2 linked regions of the Daphnia pulex genome follow. The protein of the gene in region 1 interacts with the protein of each later gene in a biochemical or structural test. Links are inferred from orthologs where the notes say so. Each region holds a gene or a part of one and is shown on either strand. Other genes may lie near its edges.

Region 1 (4,578 bases):
ACTTCTTCTGGAAGTGATACGGCTCGTAAACGCATCGAAAATCGCTTTCCTGAAGTATTTACTTCAACGCGGCCAGCGCTGTCATTATCAATGGGTTCCAAAGGGGCCACTATAGTCTCGCGGAATGGAACAATAGGCTGTGATGCATTAATTTCAATTTTTGCATAAGATTCTCTAAGATCTCGGAGACATCGTTGTAAATGGACTTCACCAGCGGTGATTAATACGTGTTCTCCACTTTCTTGCAGTACCACCTGTTATTAAGAAAAGGTTAGACGCACTACACGTTTAATGTTATTGGAAATGAAAGAAGTTACCTGAACGCAAGGGTCAGCTTGGTTTAGAAGTTTAAGACCTTTAATGAGTTCAGGCATTTCACTAGGCCGTGCGGGTTCTACAGCCACGCGCACAATAGGCACAACCATTTGAGACAGTTCAGTGAAGGCAGGACAAGTCAGAGTAGAGCTTAGAGTTCCTGATTTAAGAATATGCTCTTCTAAACCACCTATACCGACCACGCTTCCAGCTGGAGCACTCTCCAAAGTTTCCAGCTCCCGACCCATCATAAGGTACAGATCCCCAATTTTGACACGAGTAACGTGATGGCCGCTTTTCAAATCCTGAATTCATAGAATAATGAAAATGTTAATCATTCTTTCATTTCTATCGCAAATGAACTTACTTTTAAAGTCAAGCTGGGATCAATGTCGCCCTCCGTCGGGCACTCCATGGGATCATACTTTGGACCCAAAACGTACAATTCCTGTCCTTTTTTTAGGGTTCCGCTGAAGACACGGGCGAAAGCAACGAAAACAGGAGCTTCTTCAATTACTTCTTTTGGTTTTACTGGTTCTTCAACTTCACAAACTTTTCCTTGCTCTTGTTGTAGAGTAAGTTCGGCGAGTTTCTGTCTGACTTGCTGCCGGCGAAGTGCAATATCCTCGCAAGTTAAAAGTGTTACTTTACTCTTGGGCAAACATTGTCGATCCACCTAGATTGTAAGCAAAAATTTATCACAGATCTTTTCAAATATTCAATTATTTTACACTATCACACACGTCTAAATTGTTCAAGTTTAATTTAATATTGATTACAGAATCGTTCTTTTACCATTATCATTTTTGAAACAAACGCGATTGCAGGTGCATCGCTGGAAGAAGAACATGCTACGAATGCCTTTTTTAGTTGCTGTGTAGCTTCAGGAAGTAAACAAAATGGTTTTGACAGTGAAGACATAAGCTTTTCAGCTTTCGCATCGGTTATGTCAGACGGACTAGGTAATTTTTCGCAAACCATTCCTTCATGTAATTTCGGATTTAAAAGATTTTTTTTAAATTTAGGAATTGTAAAATGTAATCTATACTTACGAAGTACACTCTCAGATAGCGGAAGCCATTTGCTGAGTATGGCTTGTATTTGCACTTTCGGATCGGAATGCTTGAGATCTCGAGGGGCCATCTGTAACTGAAGACTCTGAACTATTTTCTCAGTCATAATTTTGTCCTTACGCACAACGACTGCATCATAAATGGACCACAAATTCTCTAAAACAACTTGGACAAACAATGGCTTTTTTGCTTTCTCTTGTGCCCCTTTTACAACAGTTTTCGTTTTGGAATTGAAATAGTTATCACCCCACAATGAAAGTTGGAGCTCTTCTTCATGTAGCCCAAGCTTAGAAGCAAACATTCGTGAAAAATCTCGTATTCTACGATTGGAAGAAAAATAAATTAATCAAGCGTATAATAAGGTCATGTCAGAAACCTACGAAAATCCCCAACCATCGGCCGCGCTTGCAAAAACAACATTGCCTTGTTCTGGAGCAAAGTAAATGTTGGAATCGTCTGCTTCTTCTAAGCCGGAGCTGCTATCCGTATTATTTTCTTTTTTACTCATTACATCGATAGTGAAGAGTTCTGCTACTTGAGCGTTTACTTGTTCAAGTAATTGTACCATACGGATATAAGCATCTAAGGCTGGTTAGATAATAAGCTATTAGAAAAACTTGTCACTGATATTTAACTATTTAAGCATGTTTTAAAATACTTACGTTGCATTTTCATTTCTACTATCAAACGATCAATCTTGTTCAACACAAGGACTGGCTTTATGTGTTCAAGCCATACCTGTTTCAACACCACTTTTGTTTGGGCACATACACCTTCAACTACATCTACTACAACAACTGCACCATCACACAACCTTCAGAAAAATTCAAACCAAAATTCAAGCCAAAATTATTAATTTTTTACATTTTTTTAGCATATTACCTCACTGCTGTTGATACCTCTGAAGAGAAATCCACATGCCCTGGGCTGTCAATAAGGTTCACCAAAAATTCTTTATTGTTATGTGTATGTAATAACGAAATACTACTGCTCTTCATGGTTATTCCTCTTTCTTGTTCATCTTTTCTGCTATCCATGTATCTGGAAACATTTCAAAATTAAATCTAGCTGCTATTCTTACAAAAATGTCATTATTTTTTACAACTAAGCAAATTCTAACAACACTATTTATACCTGCGTTATGCACATAATAAAACCAAACGATAACTTAAAGAGAAGTCAGTTTCCTGAAGCATGAATGAAAATCATAACATTTGATGTGGTCAAAGAAATAGAAAACCCAGATAACATTAAAATATTCATACCTCAATTTACCAACCAATTTCTGAGATATGATACCATTGGAGGCAACAAGTGAGTCAGCTAATGTGGTTTTTCCATGATCTACATGGGCCACTATACTGGATGAAAAAAATTTCAAGTTGTGTAGAGATTTATGATTATTTAATATTGTCAAATAACTTACCAGATATTCCTGATATTCAAGGGATTGTTTTGAAGTTCACCTATCCTCTGTCTATTAAATTGCTTCATGGTGCTGAAGGTTCTGGTTTAACAAACTTAGGCACTAGATTACAAGTTTAGAACCATGCAGCTTTACCTAATAACATGCCTGTAGCAGACAGACTAGCAGTAGTACACAATAACACATTACACCACAGCATTACACATAACCGGCGTAACTAAAATGCGCGTACTAAACTTGCGCGGAATTTTTCTGCAACTCATCGGCACGAAATATGAAATGGATTAGACTTGGCTAACGTCCGATGCCAGTTCGATGAAAGGGTGAAAAAAAAATTGTATTATTTTGTTTATTTTACCTGGATATTGAGTGTACTTTATTTATTATTAATTTTTTGGTAGTTTGTAGTTCAACTAAATGTGAATGTGTACCATTTACAAACAATCAGGAAATTTTGCCGAATTGGAAAGGCGATTCGGCAAAATGTCGATTCGGCAGCCCATTTTTTTGCCGAATCGACGAGTTCGGACGTTAGCCAAGTCAAATTTTTAGAAATGAATTTCTAATTTGATGTCTCATTAAGTATGCCGGATGTACCGTTTTATTTATATTGTGTATTATAAAATAGAAAGCTTTGTACCTATACATACAATACCCATGAAGAATTTATGCATTTAACTCGTCCGAAAGTGCACACAAAAGAAAGTAAGATAAAGCACTTACTTCACCATTCTATTTCGTAGTTGGAAAAGCATGAAACTTTTATAGACATGTTGACAATCCTTTTTTAACCTTTCGGCATAGTAAATGTGACTCGGGCAAGTTCGAAATAGTTGTCTCGCACCTTATCGATTCATATATCAAAGATTACACATTTATTCATTGAGGAAAGGCCACAAATACCCGAAGCAAGGGGGAAATTAAATATGATAATGATCATAATAGTTACGCACATTTCCATATATTTATTATATATATTAACTCCAAAGGGAAAAGAAAAGCAATGCTGGAATAGTCTGTGACCTATGTCAGATTCATTTTGTCAAGAATTATAGAAGTGATTGGGAATTATAGAAGTGGAGGCTTACAGATCAATCATAATTTTTTTCGCTTTGTAAATAGGATTTTGGAAAGCAAAGTGAAACAATGAATGTTGGCATCATCAATACAATCAACCATTTAATCGCCAACCATCTCTTTGAGATACATACGATTTTTAAATATAGGAAACCAATTACAATCCTAAAAAAAAGGAACATTCCATTGTTTCACTGCAGCTGGGCTTATGTGTGTAAATCTACTCGTGTATATTATATTAAACCCTACTCTTGTAGAAAATAAAAAATTAATTTCGTTTGCTGCACAATAAGGTAATGCCTGTGGAAGAGCAATAAATGGGAAAATTAACCTCATCAGACGGTAGACAGGAGCTGTGGGTACAGCTTGACCGCTTCATGAGGTACACAAGCGGGTCCGTCCAACGGCCAATTGCAGGCAGTGATGTAGTCATCGTACACAAGGTGAACGGGGCATTTGAAAATGTGAACTGTGTACTGGTGAATCCAGCGATCCCAGTAGCACTCGTAGAACTTTTGACAGTCTGACGGATGACGGAAGAGACCGGCTCGTACACATACCTCCGGGCCCAGCGTCTCGTTTTTGGCCGTCGCTTGGGCGACGGTGATCTTCTCCAAGTATCGGTGACCATATTCAGATCCGCTACTGCCAGTCGAGACTTTTCCGTCGTTTTTGTTCAAGGCGAGG
Region 2 (3,320 bases), on another chromosome or scaffold:
AAAAGGAACCATGAAATTATTATTCGTGTTTCTACATTTTTTTTTTCATGGCCACTGACCTAATTCAGTATCTGACCACAGCCTGTTGAAAACAGACCTATCATAGAAACACGAGCGCTTGAATTGCTTTCTTATATTGCCCCTCCCCATTTCCGGCCTAACAGCTACCTAGATTTGACTAATCCTGTCGACGTTTTTTTAACTGGCACGATGATAGTTTCCCATCATAACGGTTAAGTTGCCCCGTCACCACCAGCTAGGTTTTCGATTCTTTTGTCAAAACTCAAAAACCTTAATTCTATTTGATCCTTTTGTGCTATTTCTTTTTCAGGAAGCGTTATTCGAGGTTTCTTTACCATTCGAAAGCGAGATCCCATTAACCGACTGCCAACGTCTTCTACTTGCTTCAATTTGCTGAAACTGCCAAACTACCAGCGCAGAAGTACGTTGAAGGAGAAACTCCGTTATGCCATCACTAGCAACACGGGATTCGAACTGTCTTGAATCACCTCTGCTCGTGTTAAAACAAAAATTAAAAAATCAGTCGTTTTTCAAATAGGTAAGGCGATCGCCTGACACCAAAAAAACAAACAGTATATTTTCCTTACGCGACAACTGACAGCGTGGAAAATAATTATTCTACCGTTTCTTCTCCTTCCGTTACTTCTTTTAAATTAAGCAATTCCATGTGACCTTGACCTTTTGTATCGGACTTGACCAGATCTTCAATTTCGCGGAAATTACCCGGATCGATCAAGCATACCTATTATTTAAAAAAAAAAAAAAAGGAATCACATCATTGAGCGTATTTAAATTTTAACAAATAGAGACATTGAAACATTTGCTTATTTCTAATGCAGCTTGTCTCTCCTGCAAGTGTAAGCTTTTTTAGAATGCGCTTTCTACTGTATACAATCTATATAATTGAATCACCGACTAAAATAATACAAACCAAAACTATTGTATAATAAATAAAAAGGTTCTACATAAATTGTTTTTAAATTAAAAAAAAAAAATCTATAATTTAAAAGTGTATTTTAAACTCAGGCTTACCAAAATAAGGGTGCTGTCCTCCCATTCTTCAGACTCAATGCTAGTGCACAATTTTGACAGCTTTTCTTTGAGTTTTCTACCTTCTTTATGAGCAGAAATTCTTAACCTCATATGAGCCCTCTCAATTGGCATGTGACTCTTCAGCATCTTAATAACCTCCAGAGTCTAAAATGTAGAAACATAATTTTAGAACTTTAAAAAACGGTGATTAGCTATAATACCAACCTGTTGTTTACAATTTCGGTTGGGCTTTACTGAGAAATGGATGTCTTTCATTGCTTTTTCAATCATGGTTACAGGATAGGGTCTTTTGGTTTCAGGGTTAACACATTTATCTGACACCATTGTGGCAATTTCCTTTAGCATGGAGTCTTGTTGAACATGACGCTCTTTCTCAGACACCTGCAGTTCTCCCTTTGCAAGAATCTCTTGGCAGATGACATTCTGGTCTTCCGTTCCAAAACTAGATATCAAATCTTCTTTTTTAGCAACTTGGCCTTTGGAAACATTGGAGAATACCGTTCTTGCTTGAAGAACTTCGTCGAGATCTGTTTCACTATAGGGAATTTACTTTAGATATCAAAAGCAAAATTACAATATAATTCAAATCAAACTTACACTTTATTTCTCCAAGATACGACTTTATTTTTGTAACACGCAATTTCGTATCGCTTACCACCTTTTTTCATTCGTACTACTGCTACATTTGTTAGACGAATTTGATTTGTTGGGGTAAATATTTTAGACATCTCGACTTGTGTGTGTGACAAGCGTGGCCGACAAAAAAAGATAGAATGACTAGCAGACGAAACAACAAAACTTGGGGCATGGTCATTTGAAGTTTGAAAGATTCACGGAACATTTGTTCGTGTGCTGTCTGCTGTTAAATGGCTGTTAACTTTTGCCATGAATATTTGGGATCTCGGATCTTGTGTAGTCAAGTGTCAGTAATAATTTTTATTTAATAGTTATAATATTATCTCAACTAAAAGAATATTGCAGAAAATAACATAAATTTTCTTGCTTTTGCTTGTAGGATGGCTGATAATTACAAAATTGAAAATCTAATATCTGATGATCTCACCTCAAGAAATCGAGGTTTTCTTGCTGACTCTTTTGTGCGCCCTCCAGTTGATATCATACTTCAATTTCCATGTCCTGTCAAGATATGCTGCATTTCGGTCAATTCCAGAGTTGGTTCTCAACAATCTACAGGATGTGAGATCTTCGTTCAATGTGAACAATCAGGTAAGAGAAGTGGCAAAGATATTTTGGAAATAGTATAAGTGGTATAAGTTTGTTTTATTAGTGACTTGCATGTTTTAGCCTTGGTTCTTGTAGCAGGATGTAGAATTTGACCTTCATAGATCAGAATGTATTGAAGAGAACATCTTTTATGTGGGTTGTTTTCTGATGGTGTAGTAAATAATAATTTAGTGTCTGAGGGATGTATAAAGCGTCATTAGTAACTGTGTCAAACAGATTGAACACATGTTTATGGCCAGATTGGAAATTTTTTCAAAGGAGGTTCTTTTTCTATCTTTTAACAGGTGGATATGATGCATTCAACTATGGGATTTTTAACCAGGTTGGGAAGTACTATTGGGATTGTGATAAAAAGGGGGTCTACATAGTTAGTGCTCTACATTCTGCTTCATGTAGATCACTCCCTGCAGAAAATTTTGCCAGGCAAGACATAAACGGTCGAATGAACAAGTCACTGTCGTCTGTCTGGAGCCTGCGAATCAGAATTGTTAAAACATCTGGCTCTTCTATACCAGCCCTTGGGAGCTTATCTGTATGGGGGTATGTGGATTACTCTTGCCCTGCTCCGCTAGCAAGAACTGTTCTATCCAAGTGGTACGATAACAACCAACCGAAAACTCTCTGCTCCCGTAATAGGCCTGACGTGATTGATGCCCGCAAAAGTGGCACTAACACTAACACCGAGGCCAGTCAAATTGCAGGTGCTGCGGCTGAAGATGATTTTGAAATCCCCGAAGAATTCCTTGATGGCTTGACGTGCGAAATAATGTCCATGCCAGTCCGTTTACCATCTGGTAACGTCATAGACGAGAGGACTTTGGAGCGTTTCGCTAAGCAAGAAGCGTCTTGGGGCAGACCGCCGAGCGACCCCTTTACTGCAAAGCCCATCTCTGCTAGTCATCGGCCCATCTATGATACAGCTCTCAAAGCGCGCATCGATTCTTTTCTATTGAAAGAATCTCACCGACCGTGTCTGAAAAACTGTCCGCGAACAACGGGCC

What was found.
Region 2: the proteins of elongation factor-like GTPase 1 (region 1) and ribosome maturation protein SBDS-like interact in a biophysical measurement, tested with the Homo sapiens proteins (2 studies listed by BioGRID and IntAct, with this or other methods). The link is inferred for Daphnia pulex from reciprocal best matches to the Homo sapiens genes EFL1 and SBDS.

What each region holds. Positions count from the first base shown.
Region 1 is NC_060017.1:4,208,407-4,212,984, forward strand, and holds the start of elongation factor-like GTPase 1, read right to left. Parts: upstream 2,999-4,578; 5' UTR 2,883-2,998; coding exon 2,815-2,882; intron 2,750-2,814; coding exon 2,654-2,749; intron 2,576-2,653; exon of another isoform or gene 2,523-2,575; intron 2,430-2,522; coding exon 2,271-2,429; intron 2,203-2,270; coding exon 2,051-2,202; intron 1,977-2,050; coding exon 1,769-1,976; intron 1,709-1,768; coding exon 1,368-1,708; intron 1,299-1,367; coding exon 1,111-1,298; intron 992-1,110; coding exon 683-991; intron 621-682; coding exon 318-620; intron 255-317; coding exon 1-254. Other genes in the region: flocculation protein FLO11-like, read right to left, coding at 4,227-4,578. UniProt on the Homo sapiens protein: GTPase involved in the biogenesis of the 60S ribosomal subunit and translational activation of ribosomes.
Region 2 is NC_060020.1:5,634,515-5,637,834, forward strand, and holds ribosome maturation protein SBDS-like, read right to left. Parts: upstream 1,857-3,320; 5' UTR 1,803-1,856; coding exon 1,672-1,802; intron 1,610-1,671; coding exon 1,279-1,609; intron 1,219-1,278; coding exon 1,054-1,218; intron 992-1,053; exon of another isoform or gene 764-991; coding exon 635-763; 3' UTR 548-634; downstream 1-547. Other genes in the region: ubiquitin-protein ligase E3B-like, read left to right, coding at 332-504; RING finger protein 37-like, read left to right, coding at 1,941-1,996, 2,090-2,301, 2,604-3,320. UniProt on the Homo sapiens protein: Required for the assembly of mature ribosomes and ribosome biogenesis.